Stegostoma tigrinum: one gene and its partner. The protein of the gene in region 1 purifies or fractionates together with the protein of each later gene. This does not show direct contact. Links are inferred from orthologs where the notes say so. Each region holds a gene or a part of one and is shown in the gene's direction. Other genes may lie near its edges.

What was found.
Region 2: the proteins of transcription factor ETV6-like (region 1) and lrp6 purify together in Homo sapiens (affinity purification with mass spectrometry; 3 studies listed by BioGRID and IntAct, counting the BioPlex papers as one, with this or other methods). This does not show direct contact. The link is inferred for Stegostoma tigrinum from reciprocal best matches to the Homo sapiens genes ETV6 and LRP6.

The regions. Positions count from the first base shown.
Region 1 is NC_081371.1:603,414-611,165, forward strand, and holds the start of transcription factor ETV6-like, read left to right. Parts: upstream 1-4,475; 5' UTR 4,476-4,873; coding exon 4,874-4,906; intron 4,907-7,752. UniProt on the Homo sapiens protein: Transcriptional repressor; binds to the DNA sequence 5'-CCGGAAGT-3'. Plays a role in hematopoiesis and malignant transformation.
Region 2 is NC_081371.1:27,847,642-27,855,619, forward strand, and holds the start of lrp6 (low-density lipoprotein receptor-related protein 6), read left to right. Parts: upstream 1-4,803; 5' UTR 4,804-4,991; coding exon 4,992-5,046; intron 5,047-7,978. UniProt on the Homo sapiens protein: Component of the Wnt-Fzd-LRP5-LRP6 complex that triggers beta-catenin signaling through inducing aggregation of receptor-ligand complexes into ribosome-sized signalosomes.

The DNA.
Region 1 (7,752 bases):
AGGCAAAGTGTTCCATTCCCTTACTACTCTCTGAGTAAAGAAACTACCTCTGACATCTGTCCTATATCTTTCATCCCTCAATTTAAAGCTATGCCCCCTCGTGCTTGCTGTCACCATCCTAGGAATAAGGCTCTCCCTATCCACTCTATCTAACCCTCTGATTATTTTATATGTTTCAATTAAGTCACCTCTCAACCTTCTTCTCTCTAATGAAAACAGCCTCAAGTCCCTCAGCCTTTCCTTGTAAGACCTTCCCTCCATGCCACGCAACATCCTAGTAAACCTCCTCTGCACATCCAAAGCTTCCATATCCTTCTTATAATGCGGTGACCAGAACTGTATGCAATACTCCAAGTGCGGCTGCACCAGAGTTTTGTACAGCTGCAGTATAACCTCTTGGTTCCAGAACTCGATCCCTCTATTAATACAAGCTAAAACACTGTATGTCTTCTTAACAGCCCTGTCAACCTGGGTGGCAACTTTCAAGGATCTGTGTACATGGACACCGAGATCTCTCTGCTCATCTACACTGCTAAGAATCTTACCATTAGCCCTGTACTTTGCCTTCTGGTTACTCCTACCAAAGTGCATCACCTCACACTTGTCTGCATTAAACTCCATTTGCCACCTCTCAGCCCAGCTCTGCAGCTTATCAATGTCTCTCTGCAACCTACAGCATCCTTTGTCACTGTCCACAACTCCACCGACCTTAGTGTCGTCTGCAAATTTACTAACCCATCCTTCTATGCTCTCATCCAGGTCATTTAGAAAAATGACAAACAGCAGTGGACCCAACACCGACCCTTGCGGTACACCACTAGTAACTGGTCTCCAGGATGAACATTTCCCATCAACTACCACCCTCTGTCTTCTTTCAGCAAGCCAATTTCTGATCCAAACTGCTTTTTCTCCCACAATTCCATTCCTCCGCATTTTGTACAATAGTCTGTGATGGGGAACCTTATCGAACGCCTTGCTGAAATTCATATACACCACATCAAGTGGTTTACTCTCGTCTACCTGTTTGGTCACCTTCACAAAGAACTTAATAAGGTTTGTGAGGCACGGCCTTCCCTTCACAAAACCGTGCTGACTATCCCTAATCAATTTATTATTTTCTATCCCTTATAATAAACTGTTATAACCTTTTCCAACACTTTACCAACAACTGAAGTAAGGCTCACTGGTCTATAATTACCAGGGTTGTCTCTACTCCGCTTCTTGAACAGGGGAACCACATTTGCTATCCTCCAGTCGTCTGGCACGATTCTGGTAGACAATGACGAGTTAAAGATCAATGCCAAAGGCTCGGCAATCTCCTCCCTGGCTTCCCAGAGGATCCTAGGATAAATCCTATCTGGCCCAGGGGATTTATCTATCTTCACCCTCTGTAGGATTTCTAATACCTCTTCCTTGTGAACCTCAATCCCACCTAGTCTAGTAGCCTGTATCTCAGTATTTACCTCGACAACATTGTCATTTTCTAGAGTGAATACTGTTGAAAAAATTTATTTAGTGAGGCGTGGGTTTACCTCTGGGTGCTCTGATTTTCTCCCACAGTCCTAAAACGTGCAAGTGAGGTGTATTGGCCATGCTAAATTGTCCAGGGATGTAGATCAGGTGGATTAGCCAGAGGAAATGCAGAGTTACAGGGTACAGGGTTAGTTTGGGTGGCATCCTCTTTGGAGGGTCAGTGTGGACTTAATGCACTGAATGGCCTGCTCCCAAACTGTGGGGATCCCATGATATGGGATATGTTCTTTTATTAGCCGACACTAAATACAAGAGAAAAGAGGTTATGCTGGAACTGTATAAAATGCTGGTTAGGCTCTGCTGAGTACTACTTGTGGTTCTGGCCATCACATTACAGGAAGGAAGTGATTGCACTAGAGAGAGTGCAGAGAAGATTCACAAGGAATCTTGTACTGGAGGATTTGAGCAATGAGGAATTATTGGAAAAGCTGGGCTTGTTTTCCTTGGAACAGCAATGGCTGAGAGAGAATCTGAGAGATATTATGAGGAGCAGACATGGGACAAATGGGATGACACTTTCTTCCATTCGTAGAGGGGTCAATAAACAGGTGACTTAGAATTAAAGGAAGAGGTAAAGGGTTAAAAGGAAATTGTCACTGAAAGGGTGGAGGAATCTGAAATTTACTGCTGAAAGGGTGGTCGAGTCGTTTTATCAAAATTCAGAGATTTCTTGCATTGCCAGCACCCCCAAGGTGATGCGCTAAGAGCTGGAAAATGGGCTTAGTGCAGTCAGATCTTCATTGACTGGCACAGACATGATGGGCTAAATGGTCTCGTTCCATACGGTAAACATCTAGGAGAATTTACAGTCATGCCCAATCTCCCAATGTTCTATCATCTGATCAATCCCAATGAATTTTGGTTTTAAAATCAATACATTTCCATGCAGGACTTTAACTGGGACTTTCTGGTCTAGACCAGGTCAATAATTTGCCTTCCAGATCAACCTGCTCAGGAATGTCATTACACATCACTGAAGCAGGTGGGATTTAAACCCAGTCCTCCTGGGCCATAGATAGGGGCATTGCCACTGCACCACAAGAGCCATAAAATCATAAAGATGTACAGCTCAGAAACAGACCCTTTGGTCCAACTTGTTCGTGTCAACCAGATATCCTAAAATTATCCAGTCCCATTTGTCAACATTGACCTGTATCCCTCTGAACTCTTCCTATTCATGTACCCATCCAGATGTCTTTTAAATGTAATTGTATCAGTAGACCACTTCCTTTGGCAGTTCATTCCATATATGCACCACTCTCTTTGTGAAAACATTGCTCCTTTTAAATCTTTCCCCTCTCACCTTGAATTTACACCCTCTGGTTTTGGACTGCCCTACCCGAGGGAAAACAGTTTGATTATTCACCCTACCCATGCCCCTCATGATCTTATAAGCCTCTATAAAGTCACCCACCATCCACCGATGCTACAGAGGAAATCGCCCCAGCCTATTCAGCCTCTTCCTGTAGCTCAAACCCTGGCTACATCCCCGTACATCTTTTCTGAACCCTTTCAAGTTTCAAAACATCCTTTCTGTAGCAAGGAGACTAGAAATGAACGCAATATTCCAAAAGTGGCCTAACCAATGTCTTGTACTCAATGCATTGACCAATAAAGGCCCTTTTATTTCACTTCAATTTTATGAGGTTTAATTTTAGCCAGCAGGCACACATTTGAAATCTAACTAAACGTCTTATGGAAGCCCACTTAAACTTCATCCAAAGATTATTACTGTGCTTTATTCTCTATTACTGTAGCCACTTCCTCAAATAATTCAATTACATTCATTAGCTGTGACCTACCCATTAAAAATTCACATTATCATAGCTCAGATTTCTCCTAAGTGCTAAATCACTCTGCTTTTAATTAGAGGTCCGTTCAACTTCCCTGAAACAGACATTAGGTAAGGGTTCACTAAATTTATGCTTTCTCTCATTCCATTCTTAAACAATAGGAGTATATGTTGCATTTCTGAAAAAGGGTCCTGACCCGAAACGTCAGCTTTCCTGCTTTTCTGATGCTGCCCGGCCTGCTATGTTCCTCCAGCTCCACACTATGTTATCTCTGACCCCAACATTGGCAGTTCTTACTATTTCTTGTGGGGATAGGAGTTGAGGGTTATCCGATCAGCCATGATCTCGTTGAATGGTGCAGCAGACTCAACGGGTTTAATGCTCATACATCTTATGGTGAAGACACCAATGAAGCAGAACTTGTGAACAGGAAGGCAAACTGGGTAGTCAGCTCCTGGTTTCCGTGTGTGTGTGTTGGTTGATAGAAATTGTTACCTTATTTCATGGTGAGGATTGTTATCCTGAACATTATTCCCATGCAAATCCCAGACTACAGTGAGGTTGCTTGAATGCCAGGTGTATTACCATTTTCCAGGCAGCCTCATCTGAAAAGTGGGTATCCAGCAAATCCGTCACATTGCCCAGTTGCCGTTCATAATATTAACTCCATATGCGATTCAGTGGGAAAGTTATGGAGCAGAAGCCACATCATTCAGTGAGCACGATAATTTACGGGAGTACCAGGGTAATTACATGGAGTACCGCAGGGTTTAAGGTTATTAACTGGAGTACCAGGAGGGGGTTCAGGGTAATTAACTAGAGTACCAGCAGGGAGTTCAGGGTAATTACAGGGAGTACGGCGCCGGGGGGGAATCAGGAATCGCCCTAACGCGGGGGCTGGGGTGACTGCGGGATGGAGTTACTGCAAGTTACTTCATACAGACTCTGTCGCTGTTTCATGTTATTTCCGAGTTTGTGAACTGCTTTATAAGAAGCCCGAGTGCCCAGCGCAATCGGCAAAAACCAGGCGAAATGCTTCTGTCCCTTTGTGAGTGTGACAGCCATATCTGGAGTGAACAGGAGGCCTTCCTGTGTGTGAGGCCTATGAATGCTGAGGACCCACCTTCCTCTGGCTGTCTGTGGCCTGTTTTAAAGCAGTACTGTCTCCCTGCTCCCTCAATGCTGCGGCTCTGTTTCCGGGTTGCAGTTCCCCTTTAAGAGACTGCAGTCCTCTTTCCCCGGCTTGTTGCTGCTGGGAACTCACGTCAAAGGTCGGCTGGAGATTTGTGACCAACCATGAGATCAAGGAACGTTTCGCTTTCCCTTCCCGGAAGAAGGAGTCTCGGTCCGGGATGTGATTCACAGGCGGGGGAGCTCGGCAGCCGGCAGTCGCTCGGACCAGCACTTCCCCCGGCTCGGGACTGATCGATCCTTCTCGGAGCCTCCTCCCGTAAGGAGTCTAAGGCTGCTTCCCTTTCCCGGGAACAGAGGCAGGGATAGAGGGGGTGGAGAGACAGGGAGAAGTGAATCTGCGGACCTTGCCAGACATGTCTGAAGCTTTCACTCAGAGACACATCAAGGTAACAAGAAAGTTTGAAGCCGCGTGAAACCAATTCCTCGGAGAGGGAAGTTGAAATTTGCCTGACTTTTAATTCACTTCCTTATTGCAACCAGCATAGCGAACAGTGTGGGAGCTTCGCATTTTTTTCAGAATTTCACTGAAGTTTTGTCCACTTCCCTCCAGTGTTGGGAAATTCGCCACAATGTTGTGAATTTAACCACCTGGACGTGAGTTTCCCTCCAGTGGTATTGATTTCGCTACAATGTTGGGAAATTCGCCACAGTGTTGCAAGCTTCGCTACCTGGTTGCTACATTGAAGGTGGCATTCCCAATGGTAAACGGGGAGCGAGTGTGTGGAGGCTGGGAATACAGGAACTTCCCGGCCTCGGAGGCAGGGCTGCGCAGCCACTTCTGCCGGATCGTGGCAAACACTTCCGTGAGAGTCGGTGATCTAATTCTGAAACACATCCCAGTCCCTGACAGGCCTCAGCCAGAATCTAAACCGGGTGAAAGCAAGCCCTTTAACTCTTTGTTTACTTGTGCTGCCACTCGGACTCTCTTTGAGCGTGTGTTTGTGAGGTGGGGGTTCCCCAGACCTAGTCCTGGGCCCGTGCTGCGCTCAAGAGGTTCTGAACCAAGCAGCCAATGTTCTTTTGCTGAGACAGGGTTTCATTGGCTCTGGCTCTTAGTTACTTTATTTCCAGGCCAGCCTGGAGCTGAGACAGTGTGTGCCAATCTGCAGAGTCTGCTCCTCCACTCAATGGCTGATCTGATCATCCTCAACTCCACTTTCCTGCCTTTTCACTGTGATCTTTGATTCCCTTGCTGGTTAAAATCCTTGAACATACTTAATGACCCAGCTTTGACACCATTCTGTGGTCAAGAATGCCACAGAATCACTGTCCTTCGAGAGAAGAAATTCTTCTTTATCTCTGTCTTCAATGGGTGACCCCTTACTCCAAGATTGTGCTGCCTGGTCCTAGGCTCTCTCACAAGGGGCAACAGCCTAATACTGCTAATACTAAGCTAATCCCTTTGAAATAAATGCTAACATTCCACTTGCCTTCCGAATTATCCACAGTTGCCACTGGGAGCTGGCACAAGAGGGTAGTGGAAGTCAAAATAGGCTGAACCAATGGGAAAAAAAATCTAGCTCGCTATCCCAGGCCCACAAGTGAATTCAACAGGATGATTGTGCTTGAGAATTCTTGTGGAGATATTTGAGATGTTGTAGATATAGAGTTTGCACAATTCTACCCCTCGATGATAATGAAAAGGTTACAACATCTGCAACTGAACATTAATTGATGGATGGAGGGGTGTGGATGGATATGGAGGATAGGAAATGAGATGGTTGTTTCAAGTGATTGGGAGTCAATAGCGTTCCACAGAGCTTAGTCTGGGCTCACCTCTCATCACTGCAGAATATTTAACAGTTACAATATTGAGCCAGAAGGGTTGCACTTGATACGTAAACTCTGTCCAATGCAAATTGGTCTCGGCAAGTGTGAGCTGATGAGTTTGGAGAGAAGGCTAGCAGTGACTATACATGACACACAGAGGGAATGAAAATCCAACTCCATGATGGTTTGTCCTTGGGAAGACAGGCTTATAAATAAGTTAATGGTTTAATGTAGGATCTGTAGAATAGAAGAACAAAAGGAGCTGACCAGCTTTCATCTCCTATGATTTATTCCTTGGGCTGCTTTGGAGGCTGTAATATTTAAAATGTGAACACAGACTCATTTGGAGGCTTGTCATTACTCTCGCTTACTGTGAGTCATCTGCTTTTGAATCTGCCTTGTCTTTTTAATAATTTTCAACACTCCCACAATATGTAATAAACAATTCTTATCCATCTCCCTTCATGTTTACATTCCACACACCAGTGAACTCAGAATACTATGAATACTCACTGACTCAGAAAAATAACTCTCCTGCTTTCTCTACAGAAGCTGTCTGACCTGGTGAGTATTTCCAGCACTTTCTATTTTGACTTGTGACACCCTACATCTGCAGTATTTTTCTTCTGTTTGAACTGCTGAAGCTATTCTCTATTTTCAGGAGCCTCTCTATTTCAAGATCTACAATGTGGGCTTACCTAACTACCTAGCACAAATGTGAGAGGTGGTTTCCCCTCATGGGAGAGTCTAGGACCAGAGACACCATCCTCAGAATAAAAGGGTGTTAATTTAAGACTGAGATAAAAATTTCTTTGCCGAGGGTTGCGTGTCTGTGGAACTACCTGCTCCAGAGAGCTGAGGAGGCAGATTTTTGAGAGAATTCTTGATCAGCAGGGAATTGAGGGTTACGGGAAAAAGGTAAGAAAATAGATGTGGGGAATGTTGGATCAGCTATGATCATATGGAATGGCAGGGCAGGCTTGAGGGGCTGAATGGTCTACTCCTGTTCTTATTTTTTATGATGTAGGTATCAGAGGATTTTGGGGCGACATGGTGGCACAGTGGTTAGCACTGCAGCCTCACAGCGCCAGGGACCCGGGTTCGATTCCAGCCTCGGGTGACTGTCTGTGTGGAGTTTGCACATTCTCCCTGTGTCTGCGTGGGTTTCCTCCGGGTGCTCCGGTTTCCTCCCACAGTCCAAAGATGTGCAGGCTAGGTGGATTGGCCGTGCTAAATTGCCCACAGTGTTCAGGGACCTGTAGATTAGGTGGGTTATAGGGGGATAGGTTTGGGGGGATGCTCCATGGGTCATTGTAGACTGGTTGAGCTGAAGATCCTGTTTCCACACTGTAGGTTTTCTATGATGATGATTCTATGATGATTGAACTGCAAGGCAATGGCGTACGTTTGGAGGGTTAATGGTTGAATCCAAAATTGTCTATTTAAGAATGACATTGCAGAG
Region 2 (7,978 bases), about 27 Mb from region 1:
AGGGAACAGCAAGGGTCAGTAATATTGGTAGGAGTTGTTTATTGGCCAAAATGACATAAATCAGGAAAATAGTGGTGCATTTAACATGGCTAATACAGTAATTATGGGGAAATTCAACCTACATATAGTACTGCAGACATGCTCCTAAGCATCCTGTGCCTCAAGCTGTACTGTTTCCAGAACAGGTATAACACTAACATCTACCCAGCCATGTGGAAAATTGACAGGTTTGTCCTATACACAAAGCAGGTCAAATCTGACCTAATCAATAACTGCCCCATCAGTCTATTCTCTGTTCTCAGTAAAGTTCTGGAAGTTGCCACCAACAGTGCTATCAAACACAATTTGCTGAGCAATAACGTGGTCACTTGTGATCAGTTCGGGTTCAGTCAGGGCTACTGAGCTTCTGGTTCAAGCATGGACAAAATAACTCAATTCTGGAGAGGAGGTGAGAGTGACTGCCTGTGGCATCACAGTCACATTTGATTTAGTGTGGCAGCAAGGATCCCTAGCAAAACTGGAGTCAATGGGAATCAAGGAGTAAATGAGTTGGAGTTATACCTGGCACAAAAGAAAATGTTTGTAGTTGTTGGAGGTTAGTCATCTCTGCTTCAGAACATCTCTGCAGGAATTCCTGTGTCTAGTTTCTTTGGCCTAACCATATTAACTGCTTCATCAATGACATTATCTCTATCATAAGTTAACAAGTGGGCACGTTCAGCACCAACACAGACTCCTCAGATACTGAAGTAGTCCATATCCAAATGCAGCAAGATGTGGAAATATCCAGGCTTGGACTAGATTAATTAGATTCCCTACAGTGTGGAAACAGGCCCTTTGGCCCAACAAGTCCACACTGCCCTTTGGAATATCCCACCCAGACCCATCCCCCTATAACCCACACACTACGGGCAATTTAGCGAGGCCGATCCACCTCACCTCACATCTTTGGACTCTGGGAGGAAACCCACACAAACACAGGGAGAATGTGCAAACTCCACACAGACAGTTGCCCGAGGCTGGAATTGAAGCCGGGTCCCTGGCACTATGAGGTTGCAGTGCTAACCACTGAGCCACTGTGCCGCCCCTAACAAATAGCAAGTAACATTTGTACAATTGCAATGTAATGATCATCACTATCGAGGGAAAATCTAGCCATCACTCCTTGACATTCAATGTTATTACCAATGCTGAATTACTCACTATCAACATTCTGGGTCTACCATTGACCAGAAACTGAATGGGATTAACCACATAAATACTGTGGCTACAAGAGCAGACCAGAGGCTAGGCATTCTGCAGTGTGTAAGTCAACTCCTGATTCTCCAAAGCCTGTCCATAATCCACAAGGCACAAGTCAGGAGTTGTGATGGAACTCTCCCAAGTTGCCTGGATGAGTGCAGTTCCAATAAGAAGCCTGACACCATCCACGAAAAAGCAGCTCGCTTAATTGGCAACTCAAATATTCACTCCCTCCACCACCAACGCTCAGCAGTAGAAGTGTGTACCATCTACAAAATGCACTGCAGAAATTTGCCAAAGACCCTTAGACAGGATTCTTCCAAACCCATGATCACTATCATATAGAAAGACAAGGGCAGCAGATACATGGCAAGACCACTACCCGCAGGTTCCCTTCCAAGTCACACACCATTCTGACTTGAAAAAATGTTACTTTCCTTCAATGTTGCTGGATCAAAATCCTGGAACTCCATCCCAACCAGCATTGTGGATGGACTTATGCCAAATGGATTTCAGCAGTTCAAGAAGGCATCTCACCATAAACTTCTCAGTGGATACTGGAGATGAACAATAAATGGTGACCCAGCCAATGAAGTCCACATCCCATGAATAAAAAATGCCTTCTTTCCAACTTTTTCACATTTAAACTGCAATGTGCCTACTCTGAACCCAAGTAGCTATGGACAGCCAGAAGGCCACCACCAGTCAGCTAAAATGTCCCCTGTCACCTCTATGGGCTTATGAGGCTGACTGCAAAATGCTAGTTGGCCACTGATACCAGGCTCCAGAAAGCCCTTAAATTAGCTCACTAGGTTATCTAACTCTTACAGATGAGTAGCCCAGCTCCCTCAACCTCCCTATTGTCACTCCTACCTTCTAAAAAATGGCCAGGATGGGATGGAGGCAGGTAATTGGTATACAGGCCAGTTTGTAGTTCCATGCCCGCCTGCCTTCAGTCCTGCCCTTAACAGTGTTGAAGAGTTTCTCACTGGACAGTTGCTACTAGAACTGCTGAGTATTTCCAGCATTTTCTGTATTCCTTATTACAGTTATGTGAATTTCTCATTGCAACCGAGTTTTGTGGAATTTATTGTCATACAAGTTACTTACTTAAGATTAAGATTATGATGTTGATATTTAACTGACACTAAATACCTAGCATACATTATTTTGGTAAATATTTTCAATGTAGCGCAAAAATGCTGTTAGCAAGTGAAATCCCATTGATGGTTGAAAATGCTTCACGTTTAGTACATTCTTTTCTGAAATGACTGCGATTTCTAATGCTCAATAAAAGCTTTGCGAACCAAGGGGGAAAAGGTGTACAGGGTAGGAAAGAGAGAGGAAAGAAAGAGGAATGAGACAAAACATAGAATGAGGTAAAGAGAAGTAAAGAGAGGTTAGGGGAGGTTGAATAGAAGGAAAATAGTGGTCATGGGAATGTCAAATGAGGTGGGCATGTAAAACATTGAACAGGGAGTACGGGAAAGGAGAAAGTGGAAGTAAGAACAAACATAAGGATTAGTGGGCAGAAGACAAACTTGAAGAGAGAGAGATGAGGTTGAGCAGGCATATTTTTTCAACTTCCTCCTGATAACTTGCAGATAGAGTTGGAATTCCCAGGTTCTCACCTCAATTGGTCTTACAGACATGTTTTTTTTGCTAGTGTGGAAACAGGCCACTCACCTCAACAAATCCACACCAACTATCTAAAGAGCACCCCATCCAGACTCACCACCTCACCCTACCCTATAACCCAGTATTCCCCCATAGCTAATCCACCTAATTTTACACATCCCTGGGCACTATGGGCAATTTAGTATGGCCTTAAACTGCACATGTTCAGACTGTGGAAGGAAATCCACAGACACAGGGAGAACATGCAAACTCCACACAGACTGTCACCCAAGGCTGGTATATGAACCCAGGTTCCTGGTACTCTGAGACAGCAGTACTAACCATTGAGGTACTGCCCCAAATCTGCAGCAATTTAGCTCTTACGTAATTTTCCATGCCTTCCCAAATTCCAGTCTGGTCTATAACATAACCTCCCAGACCCTCAACCTCCAAAACCAAGTCTGAATGTTGCAGACCTTAAAAAGCATCCTTACTTGCTCTGACGCTGAACAATTATCTCTTACTGTTTGTGGTAAATTACTTGGTTACAAAATACTATGACACCTGGTAATATCTAAAATAAAAATGTTTTCTCTGGCTGAGTTCACTAAAAATCGTATTCGCCTTGCCGTCTAAATTCGGTTTCTCTCTCCGCAGATACTGTCAGATCTGCTGACCACGACATGGTCCTCTTCCGTCTGGCTGACCTGAGCAACACTGCGGGGGGAGCTGCTTCATATTCCAAACCACCTAAACTTAATTTATTTTCGCTTCTTTCACAAAAACAAATGCGTATCATTTTGTTTGTTTTTCTTTCTTCACATACTTTTGTTTTAAGTGTTGAGCGGTGCCAACTCAAAAACAGAAATTGCTGCCGAAACTCAGCAGGTCCGGCATGATCTGTGAGGAGGAAGCAATGTTAACAATTGGAGTTCGGTGACTCTTGCTTCTGAGTTTCGCCGGCAATTTCTGTTTTTCTTTGAGATCTCCAGCATCCGCAGTTCTTTGTTTTATTTGAGCACTACATGCATTGATTTTCTGAGGCTGCTGATTTAACACGTAGTCCAGCACGGATGCAGAACCATCTCCAGTTTATGACCAAATGTATTCGTCGTCATGGTCTAGCTCTCTCATAGATAAACTCAGTAAGACATTTAAACTGAGTTTAATCATTTTTAATGCCAGAAACAAAAACGTGTGAAATGTTTTGGAATTGTTCGTTTTCTTTCATTGCTGACGGCAAGTTCTCGTTTTTCTTAAACCTATATGGATGGATAATTCGTGGAAGAGGTTCTTGGAATTCATATCACATTAAAACCTTTTAAAGAAAGGAAAGAAATAACAATTTTATCTAAAACGAATTTTATTTTACGCGTGTATATTTATTTGAGCGTGAAAAATCACTCTTCACAATGTTGTCGCAATTTCTCAACCAGAGCATCTTTGGAAGGATTTTTGACGGCGACATTTCAATGCAAAGATGTGATTTCCCGCTGCCCAGCCCACCCGCTCCTTCGATTTAATTGCAGTAATCTCTCTTTCATTAACGTGGGTAAAGACACCGTCCCCATCTCCCTAACACCGTCTCCTCGTTCCCACACCTCCTACACACACTACCTGAACGCGCAGCCATGTACAAAGGATACTTGATGCTCTAGTATTAAAAAAAAGTAGCGCCGCAGTCCAGGTCAAATGGTTATGTTGTTCTAAGGCAGAGCACCACTCTCTGCTGCAAAAGAAATCCCCGGGAAGGCTCGCTCCAAGCCTCGGTTAAGAAGATGCATGAGAGACTGAGCGGGGGAATATATCTTTTTACACACCCGGGAGGGGGCACATGGGGAGGAACAATGAACTAAAAAGGCTCTTTTCTTTCCCAGCGAGCTTGCCGTAAAGAAAATAGTACGCCGGGAGAGAAACAGGGCAAAGGAAAAGGGAGGGTGTTAGTGGCGGAGGGAGAGGAGGCGTGTGCTTGCGCCGACGGTGAGCGGAGATAGAGAGGCCACGGAACCATGGCTGGCGAGCGAGATACTTTGTAGCGCTGCCCAAAGTCACAGGAATTGTAACTATGTGTTTCAATGTGGCGCCACGTTGAGCTCTCTTTGACTGCCTAGAAGGGGGGGGGGAGGGGAAACATGGGTACCGCGCTGAGGAGTTTGCTGTTGTGCAGCGTTTGCTCTTTGATAAGGGGTGAGTAAAAGTTAAAAGATTGGTTGGCCCTCTCTCTTGGTTTTATTAAAAAAAGGAGGCTGAGTGAGAACGGTCTTGCATGTTACTGTGAGGGGCCCGCGAGGGGGCTGATGGTGTGTGTGTGTGTTTCGTTGGGGGGGGGGGTTGGCTGTCTACGGGGGCAGAAGGGAAAGGTGAAGGGGCTTTCTCTGCCCCGGTTTACATGCATTGCCATTTATATTGGAAGGCGAATGGTTCAACTATAAACTCTAACGTCGTTCAACGCTTTTAGCTGCTGGAATGGTTTTGTGTGTGTGTGTGTGTGATAGAGAGCCGGCCGTGAGGTGGAATGAATGCCGCGATTTCTCTCTCTCTCTCACTCAGGAGTGCTGCCACTTTGTGCGGGGGAAATGCTTGGCAAAACACAGCGCAGGGTGCTCAATGGGGAGGAACGGGTCTGCTGGAACTTTTTCTGCAATGCTTTTAAGCATCTGCTTACCATCTTTTGGTTGTTTATGGAGCACTAAAAGCCGATCGAAGTGTTCCCGAACAAACAGACGGACGGATCCGATCTGTCCATTCGAAATCTTAATTCATTTGTAAGAGCAGTTTAGTTTTGTTTTAGGAAGGGCCTGCTTGTAAGAGCAAATAAAAGAATTTCGGCTGTGCACTCGGGTTGCTTTAAATACGTTTTACAACTTTTCTGGAGACATATTTCTTTACCGTATTCTATTTTATTCATAATAGCTGATCAGAAAGAGCTTTCTTTAAAATCACATTCTCTACAGGGCTACAGATCAGATTTCAAATTTAATTATTTTATTAAACAATAACTGACACCTTTTTTCAGTCCTGCATTCGTTGAACACGTTAGTTCTAGGCAAATGCAACAGGTAGTCCTGTAAAACATACGTGAATTAAGTCATTGTCGACAAAAGCAGGAAAGATATCTTTCGGGGGCTAACAAATCGTTCATGGGTAATTCGAGTGCAGCCTTGTATCTGGTTACACATATACCACAGACAAATTACTTTATTAATAGTGCAATTCCAAATTTCACATGTTCACATTCTGGATTGCAACTTTGAGGAACCCTGACAGGTAGGTACTAGTTAATTTGCAATTAGATTAATATAACTAATCTTGGAAGGTGAAAGAACTTGCGTTATTTTTTAGAAAAAGGTAATTTTTAAATACATGTTGCCTACATGACAGATTAAGTGAAAGAAGCTTTAAATATTTTGTCACGAATAAAGACAGAAATTGTTGGAAAATCTCAGCAGGTCTGGCAGCATCTGTGGAGAGAAATCAATTAACCTTTCAGGTCCAGAGACCCTTCCTCACAGCCTTCTGTTTTTCTTTCTGATTTCCAGCTTCTGCAGGTTTGTTTTTTTTTAAAGAATATTTTGTATATACTTCAAAACAAGTTCAATGCAGTACATATAATCCTAGGAGAAACTGCTAGGTGTTGAATATGAAATAGTGTACAAGTTTATATGCCTGATCGTAATTGCAGGCATATTAATAATAACAGATGTTTAGAATCCAAGTGGTTAATTGGTAAAATTCCCCTCACCTTTACCCATGTGATTTGTTTTGCATGTAAGTTGTCAATGCACAGAATCACCTGATGCTCTCAAAATTGACTCCATATTTTTCATGGCGAGGTGTGGTGGGGGTCATATTTGTGTAAAAATTGAGTTATTTTTCTCATTATTGTGCAGTTCCATTAGTTAGTTGGAACGGGGAGTCTGGTGAAGGACTTGACCTTATTGCCTTTTGTATTGATTCCAAACATTCTGGGATGTCAATTTGAAATGTGCAATACCTTCGACATCTCAAAGAGCTTATTTCCGTGAGGATTACTGTTGAAGTAATTTAGTTTTAGTTGGTATGTCGTCATAAAGGTATTGGGCAGTCTGTGATTACATTGCTGCAATTTAATTCACACCAGGTATCCATGATGTTTATAATTCTGTTTATCCAGAGTAGTAATGTAATCTTAAGTATACAGCCATTCTGGAATTGTAATTTTGTATTTTATAGTCATAATCCTGTAAAGTTGCACTGAAAATACAATATCTTAGGAGCAGGAAAGCTGATGTTTCGGTCTTGACCCGAAACGTCAGCCTTCCTGCTCCTCTGATGCTGCTTGGCCTGCTGTGTTCATCCAGCTCCACACCTTGTTATCTCGGATTCTCCAGCATCTGCAGTTCCTATTATCTCTGAAAATGCCATGTTTGCCACTTTGGAATATGTTAAATCTGAAAATTTATTTGTAGTAATCTCTAATTTGACGCAGGTTTTTTAAAATTAAATTTCACTGTTTCTGCTTTTCAATAACAATTCATTCAAGATTCCCTACAGCACTGAAATATTGAAAGCAACAAGACTGTTTCAATTCAACTGAATTAAATAGAGTTGGGGGGGAATAAGGTGGGGAATTTAAAGCCTAAAGCACTGTTTAGGTTAATTATGCCATAGTTCCAGTTAATGGAACTGATGTATTTCTCATTCCATTATTTTAATCAAATACATCCTTTGTATTCAGATAGTTTCTAACATTTTGGAATATCATATTTAGAACCGTGTAAGTCAGTTTTCGAGCTACTACCTGTGCAAATGTACTGAGACAGTTTGGAAATCTCTGACCAGTCTTTATTTTGGGCAAGAATTTCCAGTTTGCACTTGTGCAGTGGCATGAGCACTCATCTACCAATTGCTGAAGTCATTTTGACAGTTTTACAGTTTTGTAAGATATAACTTGCAGTTTAGAAAGAAGCATGCACAACAAGAATGTAAGTGCTAAGTTTCTTTATTATAGGATGTGTGATTATGAAATTAATCATTTGTTGAAGTAACATTTTTTTGTTTCACCTTTATTTTGCAAATCATATGCTTTCTTTTTACATCAGTAATGCTTAACTGACAATGTCTTTTCTTTTATGAATAC